Linked DNA regions of Drosophila melanogaster. The gene in region 4 interacts genetically with the main gene of each other region. Each region holds a gene or a part of one and is shown on either strand. Other genes may lie near its edges. The genes, in order: amos, CG10341, Ref1 and mbl.

Region 1 (3,737 bases), on a different chromosome or scaffold from region 4:
CGTAAGTTATGGCATGAGTTTTGTGGAACTGAGATCTAAGCAAAACATTTAAATATTTATAACTTTACTTTTGTAACCACTCTTTAAAGAGAAGGAAATTATTCTTTGACCTGGAAAAAAATAAAAGGGCGTACATTTAAATAAAATAATGATCAGCAAAAACATTTAAAGTATGCAATTATAAATTATATTCCAATTCTCCGCTTTCGCTAGGAACATCCATTTCAAGTTCTTGCTAGACATACTGTCTGGATATTTTTGCACATCTGTGACCACAACGAATTTACTTGGAAACAAACAAATCTTTGTATATAATAATTCATAATTCCAGATTATTACATGGTAATTATGCTCAGGACAATGAAGTTAGGTCTGATCCATTTCAGACCAACAATGGGACCAAAAAACAAAGATCCATTGTCAGGCATTGCAATACAAAGAGTGGAATCAACAAGTGTCGGGCGAGAAGAGATTCCCATGGAATTCCTGGTGACTCCGGGACTCTGACTTCTAATCTCATTTTCGCAATTTAGCGCCAACAACTAATCCGCAAAGCGAAAACGATTAATCTGGCAGGGAAAACCCAAAAACACGCAACTGCCAGACGTATCCGAGATTATCATCAGGTGACCTATTGTTGGTCAGAAGAAAAGAAACAAACGGGCATGGATATGGATGGAGTGCGGAGAGAGGTTCCCACTTTCAACCAGAACCGCCCACCAACCGACTACCTATTGTTGCTATTTTGACAGGATCGAGGTCCCAGGTAGCGCAGAAAAATGCTAATTGGAAATTCCAGAACCTCTTTTCGAAGGCGTTGCAGATCTTTAGGTTATCCGCGAACCTTTCTCCCGAAAATATTGCAGCATAATGCCTAATCTGGGCCAGGATTTCGACTAAGCTGCGGTCGCGTGGCACTCTTAACAAAGTGAACCGATCGAGCGATCGATCGATCCATCAGCTATCATCATCATCGTCAAGATCAAACGTCAGGATCCTTTGTCGGCTCGGGACTTTGTTCCTTGACAATTTGGGCGAAGTAACTGGGCCATCTTGCAGTGGCATCATTTGTACTCTTTAGCCATGCTCGGCGCTTCTCGGCCAGTGTTTTCCAATTGTTTTGCCCAGTTTCCTTAGAAATTCAGCGAACTCCTCGAATTGATTTTCCCTCTAATGCTGCGAGTCTGTGGAGTTAATTAGCCTTTCGATGCGGTCACTTGAAAGTGGGCTTGATCCCAAGATGACTGTGGAAACCAGAGCATACGAATGAAAGTATATAATGTGAGGGTGCAACATATTGCACCAGAGTTTCGAAGGACCCATCGAATGGTTTCAGCATGTTAAAGTAGTGTAGTTTTATTATCGGAAAAGTAACTCTTCAGTAAAGGCGTTAATATAGCACATTTCAAATCCCTTAATATGAAAATAATAATAAATAATAATAATGTGATACTTGCTTTGATTTCTTCATGCTTTTTTGAATTTCGAACTTCTCGACGTCCTGTAATTTGGCCATTGAAAGCAGGAGAAAGCCACTATTAATACACCCACTTAAATTTGACCCAATAAAGTAAGTACAACCGCCTAAAATCGAAAGTCACAAACCGCACAAGCACAATTGTTGCTCTTTGTTCTGTCCGAAAAATGGGGTTTGCATCCAACCAGTCGAGCACTCCACTCACTAGACCACAGACATGCAACCAAGATGATCCATGGCGATCTTCGATGGAGGCACACATTGTGGAAAATATTCCCATATGACAAGAGTCTTTTGTGCGTTCGCATTTTGACCTTGGCTAAATTTTGTTTGAATATAAAAAGTCAATTCCAGGGCAAGTAACAAAAGAGGTATGATTACAGACGGTAGCCAAATGACAGGTCAAACAAAAGGAGTCGACCTGTAGCTGATACAGTAAATACCTGGGAGAAAGAGGGAGAGAGTTGCAGCCAGAGACAATTAAACGTCTTGACCGCAAGCCAATTTAGGGCACGGGCTGTGCTGCTGATCCTCAAGAGGTTGGCAATCGGGTACCTGAGCGGATCGGATCAGCTTGAGGCAGCGAATCAGGTAACAGGACATATGTAGTGAACCAATCACGTGAGAGCTGAATCCTCGGCAGGCAGCTATATAAAGACCCATCCTCAAGCAGCCACTTCAGTTGTCCCTTGAGCCTGCAAACGTAAACATGTTGACCAACAACGAGCTAATGGAGCAGTTCTACTTCCCCGACGAAGCCCCAGCGATTCCCGAGTTCCTGAGCAACGACACCTTCCAGCAGTTGGAGCAGCTCATGTACCAGCAGGAGTTCAGCACCAGCGACAGCCAGTCGGATGGCGCCAACAGTTGCTCCTTGGAGATGTATTACGATACGCCGTCTGTCCTGGAATTGGAGCACATGCTGAATGCCCAGGAGCAGCAGCAGCACCACCTTCAAGCGAATCCCTTGGGCAAGAATCAGGGCAGAAGTCCAAGGTACTGGAACAAGCAGCAGAGGAGCAAGCCATACGACAAGCTGTCCACTTCCATGTCATCATCTACATCCTCCGCCTCTTCGAGCAGTTCATCGTCCGCGGGATTCGGTGGCGAAGTCCTCAAAAAACGGCGACTGGCCGCCAATGCTCGGGAACGGAGGCGGATGAACAGCCTGAACGATGCCTTCGACAAGTTGAGAGATGTGGTTCCATCACTCGGCCACGATCGGCGACTCTCCAAATACGAAACTCTGCAAATGGCGCAAGCATACATCGGGGATCTGGTCACGTTGCTGTCCAGAGACTACTAGCCAGTGTGGGCGATCCTTTATCCTTTCTTCCTCAAATGGAAGTTCCTTTTGCGGGCTGTGTTGCAGCAACACCTTCATATCCTAGTGGAAATCTTATAAAGGCTGTTAGTTTTACGTTTATTATCATAGTTGTACACAATTCAAGCAATAGTTTTATAATAAAAATGAAAATACAAATCAATTATATTGTTTTAAATTCATATCGTATGAAATGGTGGAGTTGGAATGAAAATAATGTTGTGCGAACTTGGAAATTTATATTTTGTTTGAATTGTATCTTTGCATTTTTTGCTGGTACATATACAGAATTTAGAGCAGATATTTTTAGAGAGAAAAAGGGAAAAATCCAATAAATATTTAAAAAAAAGATAGGAAGTTTATAGGTACTGAAATGTAAATAACTTATCAGACTTATTAATTTACATAAATATATGTAAAAACTCCATTTATCAATCCAACTGATGCCTCCACATTTGTTTTTATTCGCCACGCTTTCATCTCAGCCCGAAAAAGGGTATCCTTGTTATCCTTGAAAGATGAGAGCGGCATGGCAAGCTAGGCAGTGCGCCACGCCCACGAACCAAAACGAAAGGTCATAACATCAGTAACAAACCGAGAATTAATGAGTTCCGCTTCCGACTCAAAGTGATGGAACTCCAAAACAGAAGTGATTAAATGCCGCAAACGTCAACAGGTAAACACACTGAGGATAAACACAGTCGCTACCTTAGATCCTTCGAAGATTAGACGAAAATTGATTTAAACATAGTCATTTGTAAGTGCTATGGGAACTGTGGGTGGACCGAGCGAGTATCTATCTGAAACGGATGAAGTCGAGGATCCAGAAAGACAAAAGACGTATCGTACACAACAGTTTTCAATTGCAAATATCACATTGATGTTTGTATTTATAAAACTAAATACAGATTGTTAACTTAGCTTACTATAACTATG
Region 2 (4,765 bases), on a different chromosome or scaffold from region 4:
AGATCAGAGCAACATTGTGCGTGTGCCGCTGCGTGGGGATAAGCTGGTCATCCAGGAGAAGTTCCTGCTGTTTCGCGTGCTGCAGAAGGTCTTCCTGCCCAAGGGCTATCCGGATAGTGTCAGCGAGGACTATGCAGCATACCAGATCTGGGACACGGCCCAGGCCTTCTGCAGCACCATCTGCGGCACCCTGTGCACACACGCCATCTTGAAGGGCATCGGCGTGGGCAGCGAGAACATCAATGCCTTTTCCGCAACGGCGACTTGGATCTTGAAGGAGGGCAGTGGTCACGTGGGTCGCATTGTGTTCGCATGGTGGCAGGGCTCCCAATTGGATGTGGACTCAAAGAAATGGCGCCTGCGTGCGGATTTTCTGAACGATCTGGCCATGGGCATCGAGATCTACGTGCTTCCCAAGTATCCGCATTTCAGCACCCAAATCCTGTGCTGCTCGACCCTGCTGAAGGCGATTGTGGGCGTTGCCGGAGGTGCCACTAGATCGGCATTGACCCAGCATCATGCCTTGAGGGGCAACCTGGCCGATGTGGCATCCAAGGACAGTTCACAGGAGACGTGCGTGAATCTGGTGGCCTCCTTTGTGGGCCTGTATCTCCTCTCGCTGATCAAGAGTCAGGCGGTCCTGTATACCATATTCTACGTGGTGGTCAGCCTGCATCTGTATGCCAATCTGAAAGCAGTACGCGCAGTATGCTTGCGAAGCTTCAACGAGTCGCGCTATTTGATCGCCCTGGAGGAGTTTTTCAGGTCGTCAAGGATGCTCAGTCCGCAGCAGGTTGGTACATCGTTGATCTTGTCGAAAAATAAGGTTTTGTTCAGCTTTGACTTTTTTTCTAGGTGAACGCCATGGAGCGTGTGACGGTTGGCCAAACGGTTTCAGTGTCACTGAACATAAAGCTCGGACTGAGCGTTAAAAATTTGATTGACGAGTACAAGAGCAGCAGCGTTATTGAGAACATAGTGTCCTCCTTCGATCCCCACGAGCACTTCATCATCGCACAGACCAAAAAGTGTCTGGGTGTATATCTGCACTTTGAAACTCGTCCGCAGGATGTGCTGAAGGCGTACTTCTTTGCAGTGTCCTATTTGCAGGACAGGAATCAGCTTAAGGAGAAATACTGGGACATTCAGACGAAGTGGCAGGAGTTTTTGGCGCTGGCGCAGCAAGAGGGTAGGGATAAATTGATTTCATTTGTACTATTAGTGCTAGAGCCCTAATTAATTTTACTATGTATTATAGGTTGGCTAATCCATCATCACTTGCTGCTGGTGGACGAATACCGTTTAGATTGGAAGGTGTAGGAGAATGGTGACTTTGATTGCTAGATTTTGACCTTAGTTGCTTGCTTTGACCTGAAGAATTAATTTCATTAGACTTCATTATCATTCTCACATATCTCACATGGCTACCATAGAGCGAAAACATTGATATTAACTAAGTGCTATTGATATTTACCTAGATTTAGCTTTGTGAATCTCGTTCGCACTTGAACATCTTCCAACTAACTCTGCCTTAGCACAAAGTAATGTTTGTAACCGATATTTGATAAGCTAATTTCGCCCTGCTTTTACCCATGAATTTATCGGAAGACATTGTTTCAATTATTAGCTGCTACTAGGACTAAAGGAGACACAAAAGAAAATCAAGAAACTATTTTGTAAGGACTTATTGTAAGTATGCACTTCGATATTTCGAGAGCATACAATACATTTTTAGATATTAGTCATGAAGAATCTCACAACGAACTACGGAAAACCCGTTTCAATTGCATTCTGAGCAAAAAGTGTACAAAGTTTTAAGCTTTTTTTAATGCTAAATGTGCAATAGTAAGTTAAATATTAGCTTCGAGTATATACGGAATAAGTTGGCGTCCATTTTTGCTTAACTAAAATGCTTTTCAATGAATGCAATATATGAATTGTGTGCATACCGTCTCACCACGCAAATGATTTTAACGAAACAAATAAAAGTAAACAATTTTAAGGACAAAAATATTTATATCACATTTTTTAACAATAAACATTTTAAAAATTATACATTCGTTTTCAACATTTTAAATTTTTTGAGAGCGGTATAAACCATTGCCATTCGCAACGGCTCGATGTATTTTATTTATGACTGTGAATGTTATTTTAGAAAGAAGAAGACAACACGTGCGTGCATTCAACGTGTGTATTCTCAGTTGATATTCGTTTCCCTGCGATTTCAGCTTGATTAAGGAATTGTCTAACTATTTAAAGTTAAATAGGCATGGAGAGTGAGCAGCCAGCGGCTGTAAAGGCTTCAGCTCCAATTGAAGAGCCACAATCCACCGAAACAGCTGTTGAATTGGGGAAACATAGCACCTTGAAGGCAGACTTATCAATAGATAAGTTGGAAACAGCGACAACAGGTAAGCTTATAAGCTTTCTATACTATAAGTTCAATAATAGATTTGGAATTTCAATGCAGAAGCTACGAATGCCGTAGTAGAACCAGTAGAAATGGAGCAGCAGGTGGAAAATGAACTGGTAAATGAGTCAACACAAGCCATGACATCGACCACAACCCAGGAAAAGGTGGTGGGTTCAGTGAATAATCTTGTAGAGGAGCAACAGTGTGTGGAAATGGAATTCGAAACATCATCAGATCTCGTGGTCCAGGGAAGTCCATCGGAAGAATCCAAAAAAGTTGCCTCTGACGCTTCTGCTACTGTGACCGCACCTCAAGTTCAGCCCGCTCCACATGTTGATTCAAGCCCTCAAGCAAGTGGCCTCAGTCTGTTGGCTGCCTACAGCTCTGATGACTCGGATGATGAGAAAGTCACTCCAGTGCAGAACGGCGACAACGATGTGATTGAAGTTCCAGTTACGGACCCCGCATCCTCCACCACCGCATATCGTCCAGTTGTAGCTGTGAGCTCGGATGACGAGAGCTCAAAGAGCAGCAGCAGCAGCAGTGACTCAGACTCCGATTCCGAAGGAGAATACCTCACCGTACTTCGGAAGAAGATTGACAAAAGAATCAACACCGTGGATTGTGACGAGGATGACGAGGACTTTGATGAAGATGGGGCTACAGGAGATCGGTCTCGTCGTCGCCAGCCCCCGAAAGTACGAGGAGAAATGCTCCTTGATGACCTTCCGCCTATTCATCAGCTAGAGATTACTGTACCCGAGGATGAATGCGTTGAACTTGGCAAAGTTCAGTCCATCGTGGATCAGCTTGTTTTGGTTTCCGTGCTGCCGAATTCCATGCTATTCGATCTCGACACCGTTTTGTTCCTGGAGAAGGGTCGCAAGGTCCTGGGCGAAGTGTTCGATGTGTTGGGTCAAGTGTCGGATCCACTGTACTGCGTTCGATTCAACAGTAACAAACAGATCCTCGATAGGGGCATCAAAATTGGCGACGTAGTGTACTGCGCTCCCAAAACCGAACACACTCAATTTGTGATCCTCTCCAAGCTGATGCAAGTTCGAGGATCGGATGCTTCGTGGGAGCACGATGTAGAACCACCAGCCCGCTACGTAGATCACTCGGATGATGAAGAAGAAAGAGAAGCCAGGGCAGAGCAGCGAAAGCGCCGCCAAAGGGATCGCACAAACTCCACAGATTCCGTGGACACGGTAACCTCGGTGGCCACGACAGCCACTAAGGCTTCTTCAGTTGCTCCTCCTCCTCGTCAACGCGGACGTCGTGGGCAACGAGAGAGTTTCCGCCAGAGCCAGCGACCCTCCATTAACCAGCACAACCAGAATCAGCCACAGGACGAACAATACAACTTCCATCCAAGCTACAATCCGGGCAGCTGGCACTCCAACTACTACCAGAACTATCACCAGGCAGCGGCTAACTTTAACATGGCTCAGCAGCATCCTGGCATGCCCTTCCCAGTGCCTAACTATGGCTACGGAATGCCCTACGCCATGCCGCCCATGTACCCACACATGTACCCGCCACCACCACCCTTTGCTCCTCCTCCGCCGAACAACCAGTCACATCAGGGTCAGCCGCCACCCAGCTAGAGATAGGTATGACAATTCAGTGAATTACTTTTATTATTCCAATAAAAAATCTTTATCAATTTGCGTGTGTGTTGTTAAAAATGTGTCCTGGGTTGTTCGATAAAATGCATGAAAGGTTCGTTGGATTTGTATAAAAAGGTACTTAATCTGTGTGGGATCATTAAATACGGTTACGGGTGTAAATATATACGCGTTTAACTACGATATATGTGTACCTGGCTACATGGCTTGGCTTATTATCGTACAGCAGGAAGCACTAAGCGGCCGAAAACAACTTCAATGTGTATAAATATGCTTGCTGGCTAATCTAAAATATATGTAAACATATTTATGTGCGTAATTGTGCACTTTTTCTATATACTATTGGGCTAACAACAGTTGCCTTAACTTGTTAAAATTTCGTTCAACTGCTGAGCAACCACAAAATATTTTGATTGAGCTTATTCGAGCAACCAAACAAGTGGACCGGGATGGGGTCATCCATATTCAGGACCACGTAGGCACGTGAGAATGTGACAATAAAGGTAGGAGCACTCCGAACAGCTCCAAGCTATTTACATTACAACAATAACGTAAAGTAAACGAAACAACAATGGGCCGGTTTGGGTTAATTCTCGTTGATTAATTTGCAAATGTAGGTTCGGAAAGTAATCTTTGGGCATATTATTAGTTTTTAATTAGGCAAGGACTTGGGTTCTATCATCTTGTAATACCTTATTTTCGTTGTATCACATTAAACGAT
Region 3 (5,321 bases), on a different chromosome or scaffold from region 4:
CCACAACCAGCAGCGACAAAATGACATCCACCGAGCTGAAAATCGGCCTGACCACCAGTGCCCGTCCCTCCAGCCGAGTGCTGAAGCCCCCAGGCGGCGGACACACCAATATCTTCTCGGAGCCCGACGTGGCCGTTCCCGCCCCGCGTGCCAAGTACAACCAACAGAACTCCTCAAACCTCAATGCCTGCATGGGCTCCACGGATCCCAACAAGGTGGTGGAGAAAATTCGCGAAGAGGTCTCCATCCAGAAGGAGGAGGCCAAGTCCGCCCCACCCAGCCAGCCCAAGGAGCCGGCGAACAAACCAGCGGCCACAAATGGAGAGGCACGCGGCCGAGTTCCACCCGGCGGATTCTCGTCGGGCGGATTCTGGTAGAGGGAGGAAGGAGGGAAGGAAGTGTGCCCGGGAGCAGAAGCAGCTGCCAAGCATTTAATGACTCACCATCACATCCTCAGACCGACATAAGAATCATAAAACTATAAATATACATAACTCGCTTATAACATACGTATACACCTATATTTAGAGGCGCATTACCTATATTAACCTGCTGATCAGCCGAAGAAGAAGGGAAACTGATTATATTTTGCCAAGCAGCACTCCAAGTCGTTCTTCCTTTCGCCCTTTCATTTTCATGTCCCACATTTGTTCTATTGTCTAAGTAACAGGTTTAAAATGTCTAACGAAATTGTTGAAATTAAGTAACTCGTGATTCCGCCCCACAAATACGGATGATATGGATTGACTTTGCTAAAATCTACCACCTACTAAGCCTAATTTAGCATTTGTACTTAAAGTGTCCAATCGAATCTTCTTATAGTCTGTAAAATTCGTCCAAACGAATACCAATATAACCATCGATGTATTACTCCAAATAAAACATTTAATTGTAAGTGATGGCTCTTTTATTTTTGCAAGTTGATGGAGATTCTTCGGAGTCCGCCGCCGCCTAGTAATTAAACAATACTCCTAGCCTATTGAGTCAGTAAATACAATTCGATTTGGTCACGAAATTAATTCTAGTATTTATTACAATTCAGTTTAATTTGACAAGGTCCATCAATTTATCGTCGAACTTGATAAAGCGCATTTCTAAATACAATAAATACAGCATCAAATGTATTTCAGTTATCTTAACATCCGCCGCATTGGCAAAACTAACAATTAATGGATAAATGCGCAAGTGGTTGATTGATTTGATGTCCGATGCTTTCAAAGATCTGCTCCTGGGCGCGGCGTTGTCGATGCGTTTGCATTTATGTACCATGCGGGGGGTGTCCATATGGTAGGCTTAAAACTATAGATTGGGCTGCTCTTCTATTCTTGTTAGACTAATTCAGACTATTCACTATTTAGATCTTCATGTCGTTGATGTATGAGTCCAGTTCGGCGTCCAGCTCCTCAGCAGTGGGCGGGGCCTTGCGCTCCCGTCGCTGGCCGCCTGCCGCCGGCTTGCCACCGACCGGACGTTTGAAGCCGCGACGCGCCGTGCCACCAGCTTGGCCACCTAAAAAACAGTTCGGAATGATAGTGTAAGCATTGGAGCAAGGATGGATCGTCATGGGACCGTATCATGGTCATTATAGAAAGGTAAGCTTTCATATGTGGAACTGACCTAGTAACGTAGTTTACCCAACAAACATCGTATTAAATCGAAACAAAAGTTTGAATAATTACAAAAGCTGTTGACAAGAAAACATAACAAAGAAAGGAAAGTATTTCGTATAAAAAGTCAAGTAACAAAATTTGAAACCTAAGACATACTAGGTAATCGAAATAAATAGGCATTTAAAAATCTTTGTGGGAATGGGGATAGATCCAAAATTGATCTGAAATAGTTTTAAATGAACGATGTTTGTGGTAAAAATAAACGAAAATGGGCATCATTCACGGTCCCTGCTGTAGCATTTTGGATACGCACCACCACGCTTGAATGAAGTTGGTGCAGTACCACCCACGCGACGCTTGACATCGGTGGCGGCTACGGGACGGGTCAACACGGCCACGTCTGAGACGGCCAGCTGAATGGTCATAGGGCGTCCGTCCAAAGGTACGCCATGGTACTGTTTAATGGCCTTCAAGGCGTCGGCGCGACGTTCGAAAATCACGTCAGCGGTGCCTGCAAAGAAAAGTGAATAAATCAAATACATGGCAATAGCTTTAAATTTCGGCATAAATCAAAATACTAAATAAAAACCGCAGCTTCATCGGATGATCTGATCTGTTATCAATTCAAGCCGATTTATATTACTTGGAATGTCTGTTACTGAACCATTCTGCCGCCATTTTATGAACAGCATGTACCGAAATGTTTCACCTAACGACAGGTAGCTGGAGTAGTACTAGCACTTACCCAACGAGCGACCGGAGCGATCGTAGTGCACTGCCGCCTTCTTTATCGGACCAAAGTCGTTGAAGAGCTCCTTGATGTCCGTGTTGGATACGCCGTAGTCCAGGTTACCGACGATGAGGCGGGTGGGTCCAGATCCTCCACCGACGGCACCCCTCTTCGGTCCGTCGTACATATCGTGCTTCCAAGCGCTGTTCACATCGCCCTAGAGGTGGGGGTAGTATTAGGTAGAAGGTAGATGGGTATGTCTTCGAACGCTGCGCGTATCAACTATATGTATGTGGCGGGAGTAGCCGTTGCAGTAGCAGTTGCATCGTATCCTAGCCACAAGAGAGGACAGCCATATTGAGCGGAGACACTAGAAATGCTTGTTAACTGGGTATGGTTCACGTGGAAAACGTGAGGCGTGAGACGTGAGGAAAAATAAGTTAAGACACAGGTGTCGTCTGTTTGGTATTCTGTAAAAACGGGGTTAAAGGAACTTGAACTTGAGGCTCTGCTCGGGCTCGAAGAGTTGTTCCGTCCGTTGGAAGGCGCATGGTGGCCATTTTGATTTTGGTTTAGATTCTGAGTCTGTTTTTCGCTTCCAAGCACTGTTGTGCGGATCATGGGCCGCAAGACACTTGCTTTGGTAGTGCTCTGTCCTGGTGAACTGAGCACGGGGATGGTCTGCTCCGGCTGCTCCGTTTGGCCATTGAAACGCAATGAATTACCCGTGGGAACTTGGCCTTCTGAACGGCTCCGGCGGCCACTCCTCCTCGCGGGCCCTTGAGCACGCTTCCTGGCTTCCTGGGCGAGCCGCCGGCATTGGCTCCGCCGCGGCGGGCTCCACCAGCAAAACGCTGCTGTCCGCCCGTTTTTCGGGCGCCACCTGGTCCGCCGCGGGCGGCTTGCGGCTTTTTTTGCGAGCGTGTGGACTTAATGATGTCGTCGAGGCTCATTTCAATTTTGTCCACCATCTTGCTTATTGCGTGCTGTATTGACTACTTGGAGATCGTTTAAAGTCAAGGGAAAGATTGGGTCTCTGCTTGCTACTGAAGAATGTGTTTAAAGCGTTTTTTTTTTAAGGAGGAGCGCGTGGAATTTCACAAAACTTTGCAAAAACGACGCACACAGATCTACACAATCGCCATATTGGTTCAGAGGAAAAAAGTGTTGAATAACGGTGTGCGTCAAGATAACGACGACAACGAGTTGTCAACGAAAATGAAACGGCGAAATAGGGTAAATACGGAAATTATATAAACATAAAATATAACATAACATTAAAAATTATTATAATTCATATTCACGAAATATCCTAATAATATGGGAAATATCCACTTTTGAAAATGTTTAGAACCATAATAAATATGTGATTATAATAATGTTGTGATTAAATGTTGTGATTAAAATGACTATGATCTTGGAAAATTATTTGGAATGATTACCTCCCATCTAAGTTTTTTTTTTCTCTCTTTTTATTTACAATCTGTCTTAAAAAAGTATGACAATAAGTACATTTTATAATTAATCTTATATTAACAGAGGCAGTAGTTATCCATTAATCCCTACTACATACTCTAGGCATAACATGTTTTAATACTTAAAACCTGTCAGGGAGGTCTAGCACGTAAAATCTTTTAAGTCTTCTGACGTTGTTATTACGTTTTACCAAACTTAAGGCTAAGTTATTTTCATGTGTTCTTAGTCTGTCTATATATTTTTTAATATGTTTTGCTATTTCTTCTTTAACATAAGGGATTCCTAAGTCTTTATGGATACTTGCATTTGAAATAAAAATTGAGCATCAACAATTTGTCTTAATATTTTTGATTGGTAGCGTTGTAGAATCTAAATATTTGAATTGCTGGTATAAGTTTAGTATGGCTTTGTATAAACGGACTTTATTTTCCAGAGTGGTTGCAGATTTTCGGCAACCAGCAACCAGGTCATCTTCAAACTTTTTAGATTTAGTTGCTGGCGCTTTGCTTTTATGTGTTTTTTCACGTTAGTCTGGGATCGAGGTGCAAGCCAAGGTACTTTATGCAATTACTTTGTGGGCAGTCATCTCTTCTTAATGCAAAAGTTATTTGCGCAGATTTCAGGGCGTTGACATTAATTTTCCAAAGAAGAAACCAGCGTAGCTCTGCTTGCAGGAGTTGTGAGGCTTCTTTAGATGAGCTGGTAGCATTTCAAATTAAAAAAAAAAAATTAAATTTTAATTTTGAAGAAAATTTTCAACATTTAGCTTATAAACAACTTAATCTTAATCTAATCCGAAAATCTCAAATGGAAATACAAATTTCTTGATTGGGATACAGCCTAGTTATACCCGTTACTTGTAGAGTAAGAGGGTATACTAGATTCGTTGAAAAGTATCTAACAACTAGAAGGAAGTGCTTCCGACTATATAAAGTATATATATTCTTGATTAGGAACAATAGACGAGTCGATCTAGCCATGTCCGTGGAGATCTCAGGAACTATAAAAGCGAGAAGGTTCAGATTCAGCATACAGCCTCTAGAGACATAGACCATGTTGCCACGCCCACTCTTACGTTCTCAAGCCGTAAAAAACGCCACGCTCAAACTTTTGAACAATTCTTCGAATTTTTTCAAAATTCTATTAGCCTTGTAAATTTCTATCGATTTGCCGAAAAACTTTTTACCACGCCGCTCTAACGCCCTAAAGACGCAATTGAAAAATTTTTGCTCATTTTATTCCCCTAGATATTAGATCCCTCCCAGAAAAATGTTGAAATTTCGTGTTCGCATTTACACTAACTGGTATCTGTGAACTCGACTATAGCATTCTCTTGTGCTTTTATTATAAATACAACCATAACCGTTTTATTTTGTTTTTTAGGAACAGTTACGCAGAAGTGGCCCACAGTGCCCGCGAGTTTCAGTATTTTAAAAATAATTATTTAAACGCAAACGTGACCCTTGGTCACACTGTACCATTAGTACTTGAAAAGTAAAACGAAC
Region 4 (5,484 bases):
ATACTTAAAAGCATTAATTAACAAGTATTTGCTCATAAGCAAATTGTATTGTTTTGAGCTTTCTAGCGATTTAAGGCTAGACCTTTTTATACCTTTCGTCTGAACTCTGACACCTTTTCGAGTGCTGTCATCTCGCATCAAAACTGAAATCGCGAGCCGAGCAAACAAACACGGACATATACAACGCTATTTCCACACTTTCGACAACCGAAAGGGGGTGTTCCTATCGATATTTACGACCTATTGAGAAGAGCTTAAAGCACAAAACCCTCTTACTACAAGTCAAACACATATTTCTCACAGCGACGTTTTTTCTTGCCTCGTCTTTTTGTACTGCGGCATGAGTTTTTGGCGAAAAATCGAATCGATTAGTCATGCCAAAAGTCCTCAAGTTTTCATACCAATCCCCTTCACCAACAAAATATAAAACCGTCTTGTGGCATTCGTGGCGTTTTGTAGTTATGGTTCGAGTTTGATTTTTTGAGTACGTTCGGAGGAGAAAAAGTGAATGACTTGTCAGAGTGTATTGAACAAATGGACAGAAATAATAATTCATTTTTGGCATTTTCCAAACGATTTCTTTGACTCATATTTCTGCAGCAACACATTTTTGACACTTTTGTTGATGATGATGGGTAAAAATGAAGAGTAAAAATAAAAACGAAATGTGTCAAACTTTTGCTTTTTGTTTTCCAGTTGCCAGCGGGCAGAGCTAATTCAATTTGCATATCTGAACTGGAGGAAAACGAAACAAATCGGAAAAATTATAATAACAATCTTTTTGCAACTGAAACCGAAGCTAGGACCGAAATAAACATAAATTTAATGGTTACGACTTGGCAAGAGCGAGGGGTGTGGGTTTTTAGGTGGAGAACCACATAAAAAACGTGACTTTTCGTTAAAATAAAATCTATGTATTTGCATGTGCGAGTACAGTGCGTTTCGGGATCGTATTTCCCATTAATTCGTCTCTAAGACCCTAAAATGAAATCGATTTGCAGTGTCAGAACAAATGCGGTAATTGAATCAGTTTCGTTTAACAAAATAATCACATTAAATTTAAGAATCATGTCTGTTTTCTGTTCGGGTGTCTAAGCCCATTAAATATCGTAAGCTTTCAAAACAATTTGATTTAGCCATTAATTCCGTAATTGCCTGTTTGCAGGCGTTTTGTTTTATTGTCACGTGTGTTTCTTTACAACTGGCTAACAGTGTTGAAACGCACAGTAAAAATCGCTCGACTTAGATGTATTTTTTTTTTCTCCATTTTGTTTGTTTAATAGTCTAGGCCTTGTCCGGCTTTAGAATAAAAATGGCTAAATTTGCATTATATTACAACGCGAATATTTGTAGTTTTTACCGTGCTTTTAAGTTAATTAACTCCACAGATGATATATATTCATGTTAAGCTGTTAGGGCGCTTTCGCAAATAATGTGGATATATTTAACGTATTTAATGCCCAATAATGTGGAATAACCATTCCCATTTTCACTCTGACAAATTTGGTTTGCAATTTGTTGAATTTTAATTATTATTTCACAGTTCATTAGGCTCAATTTCAATTTGATTTTCGGTCATTAAGCTTTACCAAGCCAAGTGAACGAGATGTGCATTATTTTAACAGATTAAGCAAGTTTTTTTTAATGATTATAATACACTTATTAATGCAGAATTTATATTTTTGGCCGTGTAAAGTAGTTTGTTTTCAATAATAAATGTATATTTGTGTATATTGCTCCGTACTTTTTTATATTTTTTGGCCTGAACAAATTTGGTAAATAGAATTTTGTTGTTAAATTATTTAAATCAAACAATATAAATTAGCCTCCGATATATATGCATATGCATCTCTGTAATATTGAATACGTCAATGTTTCTGCACCTTATTCAGCACTAAATAGACTCTAAGTAAGTGACTTCTTTTGCAACACTGTAATTATAAAACACTACCAATGAGACTTTATGTATGTTGAAATTAACTTTTTTTTTTAAACTTTAAATACCGAAGTTTTATTGGATGGATACTACACTTTAAAACTACATACACCTTATTAACTTTGAAAAACATTAGTTTCCTTTACGTTTACTTATGTTAATTTTCTCCCATTATTTCTTCTTCTCCAGTCTTGAGAACAACTTTCCTTACAATATTAAGTTTTCCCTGTCATGAAACAGAATTTCCGACTTTTCACTTGGCATCACCGAAAATTCGACAGCAATAACAAACAAGACCACGAAATGTGGCAAGAAAGGGAAGAGACAAACCGATGGATAGAAAAAAAACATAAACTTAAGACGAAGGCGAAAAAAGAGAGAAAACAAAAGGAAAAAAACACAACGATCTCTTTTTTTTTTGTTTTTAAGTATAAACACCTTCGGTTGTCCAGCTGACTTGTTGTTGTTGCTGCTGGCGAAGTTGAAGTTGTTGAAATTGTTGTTGTTGGGTGAAAAAGCGGCTGCTGTTTTATTTTCTTGTATTTGTTTATTGTTTTACTTTTACGCCGATGGTGAATTGAAAATGTATTTTTAACCTTTTTTTCTCGACGCTCCGTGGTGTGTGTGTGAACTAAACACGCGCGTTGTTGCAGAAGCTGTTGTTATCGTTGGTTTTTAAGATGCCGGCTAAAAACAATGGATTTTGCGATTTTTCCGGACAATTTCCCTGCAGCGCTTGCACTATTTTTCTTGAATTTTCACGAACGACTTTCGACAACTTCTTTTTTTCTCCTTTTATTATCTGTCACACACAGAAACGAACACACGCAAACACTCTTACTGAGCACCTCACATACACGTGCACTCGCGTTGTTGTTTTTTTAGTTGTATTTTTGACAAATTTTTCCGCGTTTCTAGAGTTGTAGGCTAAAACTTTTTTGATGACGGCGTTTTGCAGAATTGTGATTATTTCTGTTTGCGGTGACTGAGCAGAAAGTATTGTGTTTGTTATTATTTAGCTGAGAGCTGCTATTTCTTTGATGGGGTTTTCTTGAGTTTTTCAGGCAGGCTCTGGTATAATTCACTTTTCCGCTGACAGAACCGCTTCCATCGAAAAATTTTTCGAAACTGAAAGCAGCAATATTTTTCTGGTCATTCCATTCCAATTCGACTCGAAACTCTCTCGCTCTCTTTCACTCTCTGCCTGTCATTCTCTTTCGCTTACGCTTGCACTGTGGGGCAAAAAACCACATACTGTGGCATTTTAGTAACTTCAAAACGTTGTAGCATATAAGAAGTGGAAAAGATATTCCAATTTATATATTATTTTGTATATTAGTGTATAAATGCTTGACTAACTCTTTTCGTCAGCTTAAATTTTATAGGTGTCAACTGTTGCAATCAAACTGTCAACCCTCCATTCAGTACGAAAAAGTGTTTGTTTGTCCCACAGTCCGACGAGCTCTCTTGTGTGCTCTTAAAGAGTACTTTTATCCAATGAAGAGAGTTCGAGTGTTTTTGGTTTTGTTGATTACCGAGGGGGGTTTTTAGGGGTTGCCGAGTTCAATGAAGGCGAGTCGAGTTGACAATCAACTAAAAGGTTAACTGGCCAAAAGTAGACAGACTTAAGCTTTTGGCGTAGGTTGCGGACTATAAAATAGCCTGGCAACTAATTTTTGCAAATCGGTGACTAAATTAACGGTAGAAACTAGATAATGTATTTTTTGTGGCTCTCTCAAGCCTTCGATAAATCTTTTTTTTTTAGGTGATAAAAAAATTTAAATGTGTAAAACTATAGATAATAATAGATAATAAATATGGACATATAAATAGACATTTTAGGAATTTTAATTTCTAAAAATCTTTACAATTTTGACACAAGTGATTGGGCACGTTATAATTATTTAGGGCTTATGTATATTATAATTATTATATTATAATTATGCTTAGTGTCATAAATTTGCTTTGATGATTTTCTGTTCATTTTAAGTCGTCAGCTTAAGTACGTACATATACAAAACAATTATCTTTTATTTTTGGAAATTTTCATTATTTTTGCTAAGACCCCATTAAAAAAGGTTTTTTGTAAATCTTGAATATGTATAAACCTGCACCTTAAAGAATATAATTATTAAATTATTTTTAACAAAAAACCATTTGTTCTACTTATTCATGCAATGGCCAGGTACATTTTTGAAAAATACCATTGCTCTAATTGTTCACACACCGCAATGATAATTAATGTTTGCTTGCAGTTTCCATTTGGGCCTAAGGACAGAAATAAGTGAACTTAGTGAATTGGAACTTTGTTCGCTCTGTCAAAGTCACCTTCAAAATGTGTTCGATATGTTCTAAATCATTTACGTAAATGCATCCCATCCATAACGGTATAGCTATATATCCGAATGCAGCCCAGCGGGCCAGAAATAGAAATATGTAACGCACACACACAGCCACAACTCTTGACATTTCTATGTCATAAATTTGTTTCGTTCTTTGGATTTTTTGGCAACAAAAGATATGGTCCTAACACCCCCCACATGGCAATTAAAATATGTGGTGTAGGCGTGGAAAGGGGGGAATACCACTAACGCACACCATGCACCACTCCGTGTAGGTTAATTGTAATAAAAAGTGAATGTAAGCGATTTCAAGAACGAAAAAAACGAAGTCCAACGAGAACTGGCATGTGAAAGCCAAATCCATATGAAAGGGGATAGAGAGAGAGAGAGAGAGCGACCCGACCCGAACCAGATGCAGATCCAGATCGAGGAACGCCCCCGCAATGATTTTAGCTCCACTATACGGTGGATATACCCCGCCCCCACCAGGATTTGATTTTTATTATTAGAAGTCCATCGGTGTTTGTGTGAGTTCACTATTTTTAAACGATTTCAAATTGGAGTTTTTGTCAGTGACCCGAAAGAGAAACAAAGATCGCTAATGGAGCTCGGGGGCAAGTGAAAGGTTTTTTGGTCTGCAAATTATGCATAATGAATTACATGAATTACAATCGCGAACTGAAGGAGTGGTAAGCGTGGATGAAGCAAATAATGAGTTATGTTTACAAATAATGGAGATAAATCCGATTTGCGTCTATTATGATTGGAATGTGCCAAATCACTGCCGAAACATGTAATTTATTATGGCTGTTGTATATCGATAATTATAAGGATATTAGCAAGATTAACAATGTTGTCTAATATTCGGTTAGCATTAGTAGTTTTAAAAACGAATCAAGGGTGCTAAGAGTAGAAAGACAATTATGCTGAAAGTAAACCAGCTCATATTAATCCTTGGATCCTCTGGATTACTGTAATAACTTTTCCCCTCACAACGCTAATGACCAAGCAATTAATAAGAGTTATAGACAGCACTTGCGATTCCATCATCGTAGATCTACGTATTTATAGAAGATGTTATCGGCAAATGACATCTCTTTCTCGGTACCCAAAAACGCCCACCGCAGCATCTTGAAAACATCATTAACAACACATTTATCGGCGCTGCTTCTTCTCGCCGCTGCAGCAGCCTTTCAAATGTGGGCA

Evidence for each region.
Region 1: of mbl (region 4) and amos, changing one enhances a phenotype caused by changing the other (phenotypic enhancement), as found in Drosophila melanogaster (one study listed by BioGRID).
Region 2: of mbl (region 4) and CG10341, changing one enhances a phenotype caused by changing the other (phenotypic enhancement), as found in Drosophila melanogaster (one study listed by BioGRID).
Region 3: of mbl (region 4) and Ref1, changing one suppresses a phenotype caused by changing the other (phenotypic suppression), as found in Drosophila melanogaster (one study listed by BioGRID).

Annotation. Positions count from the first base shown.
Region 1 is NT_033779.5:18,595,356-18,599,092, reverse strand, and holds amos (absent MD neurons and olfactory sensilla), read left to right. Parts: upstream 1-2,171; 5' UTR 2,172-2,186; coding exon 2,187-2,783; 3' UTR 2,784-2,957; downstream 2,958-3,737. Other genes in the region: CG15160 (uncharacterized protein), read right to left, coding at 3,719-3,737. UniProt on the Drosophila melanogaster protein: Transcription factor involved in early neurogenesis; sensillum basiconica formation and maybe sensillum trichodea development. Promotes multiple dendritic (MD) neuron formation. Required for olfactory sensilla; regulated by lozenge (lz).
Region 2 is NT_033779.5:18,696,566-18,701,330, forward strand, and holds CG10341 (uncharacterized protein), read left to right. Parts: upstream 1-2,148; 5' UTR 2,149-2,269; coding exon 2,270-2,411; intron 2,412-2,470; coding exon 2,471-4,023; 3' UTR 4,024-4,080; downstream 4,081-4,765. Other genes in the region: CG10338 (uncharacterized protein), read left to right, coding at 3-793, 856-1,189, 1,259-1,320. UniProt on the Drosophila melanogaster protein: RNA-binding protein required for the maturation of the box H/ACA small nucleolar ribonucleoprotein (H/ACA snoRNP) complex and ribosome biogenesis.
Region 3 is NT_033777.3:7,076,899-7,082,219, forward strand, and holds Ref1 (RNA and export factor binding protein 1), read right to left. Parts: upstream 3,490-5,321; 5' UTR 3,312-3,489; coding exon 3,066-3,311; intron 2,558-3,065; coding exon 2,356-2,557; intron 2,122-2,355; coding exon 1,924-2,121; intron 1,510-1,923; coding exon 1,355-1,509; 3' UTR 1,006-1,354; downstream 1-1,005. Other genes in the region: CG1943 (uncharacterized protein), read left to right, coding at 21-377.
Region 4 is NT_033778.4:17,263,102-17,268,585, reverse strand, and holds the start of mbl (muscleblind), read right to left. Parts: upstream 3,069-5,484; 5' UTR 2,375-3,068; intron 1-2,374. UniProt on the Drosophila melanogaster protein: Required for terminal differentiation of photoreceptor cells. Vital for embryonic development.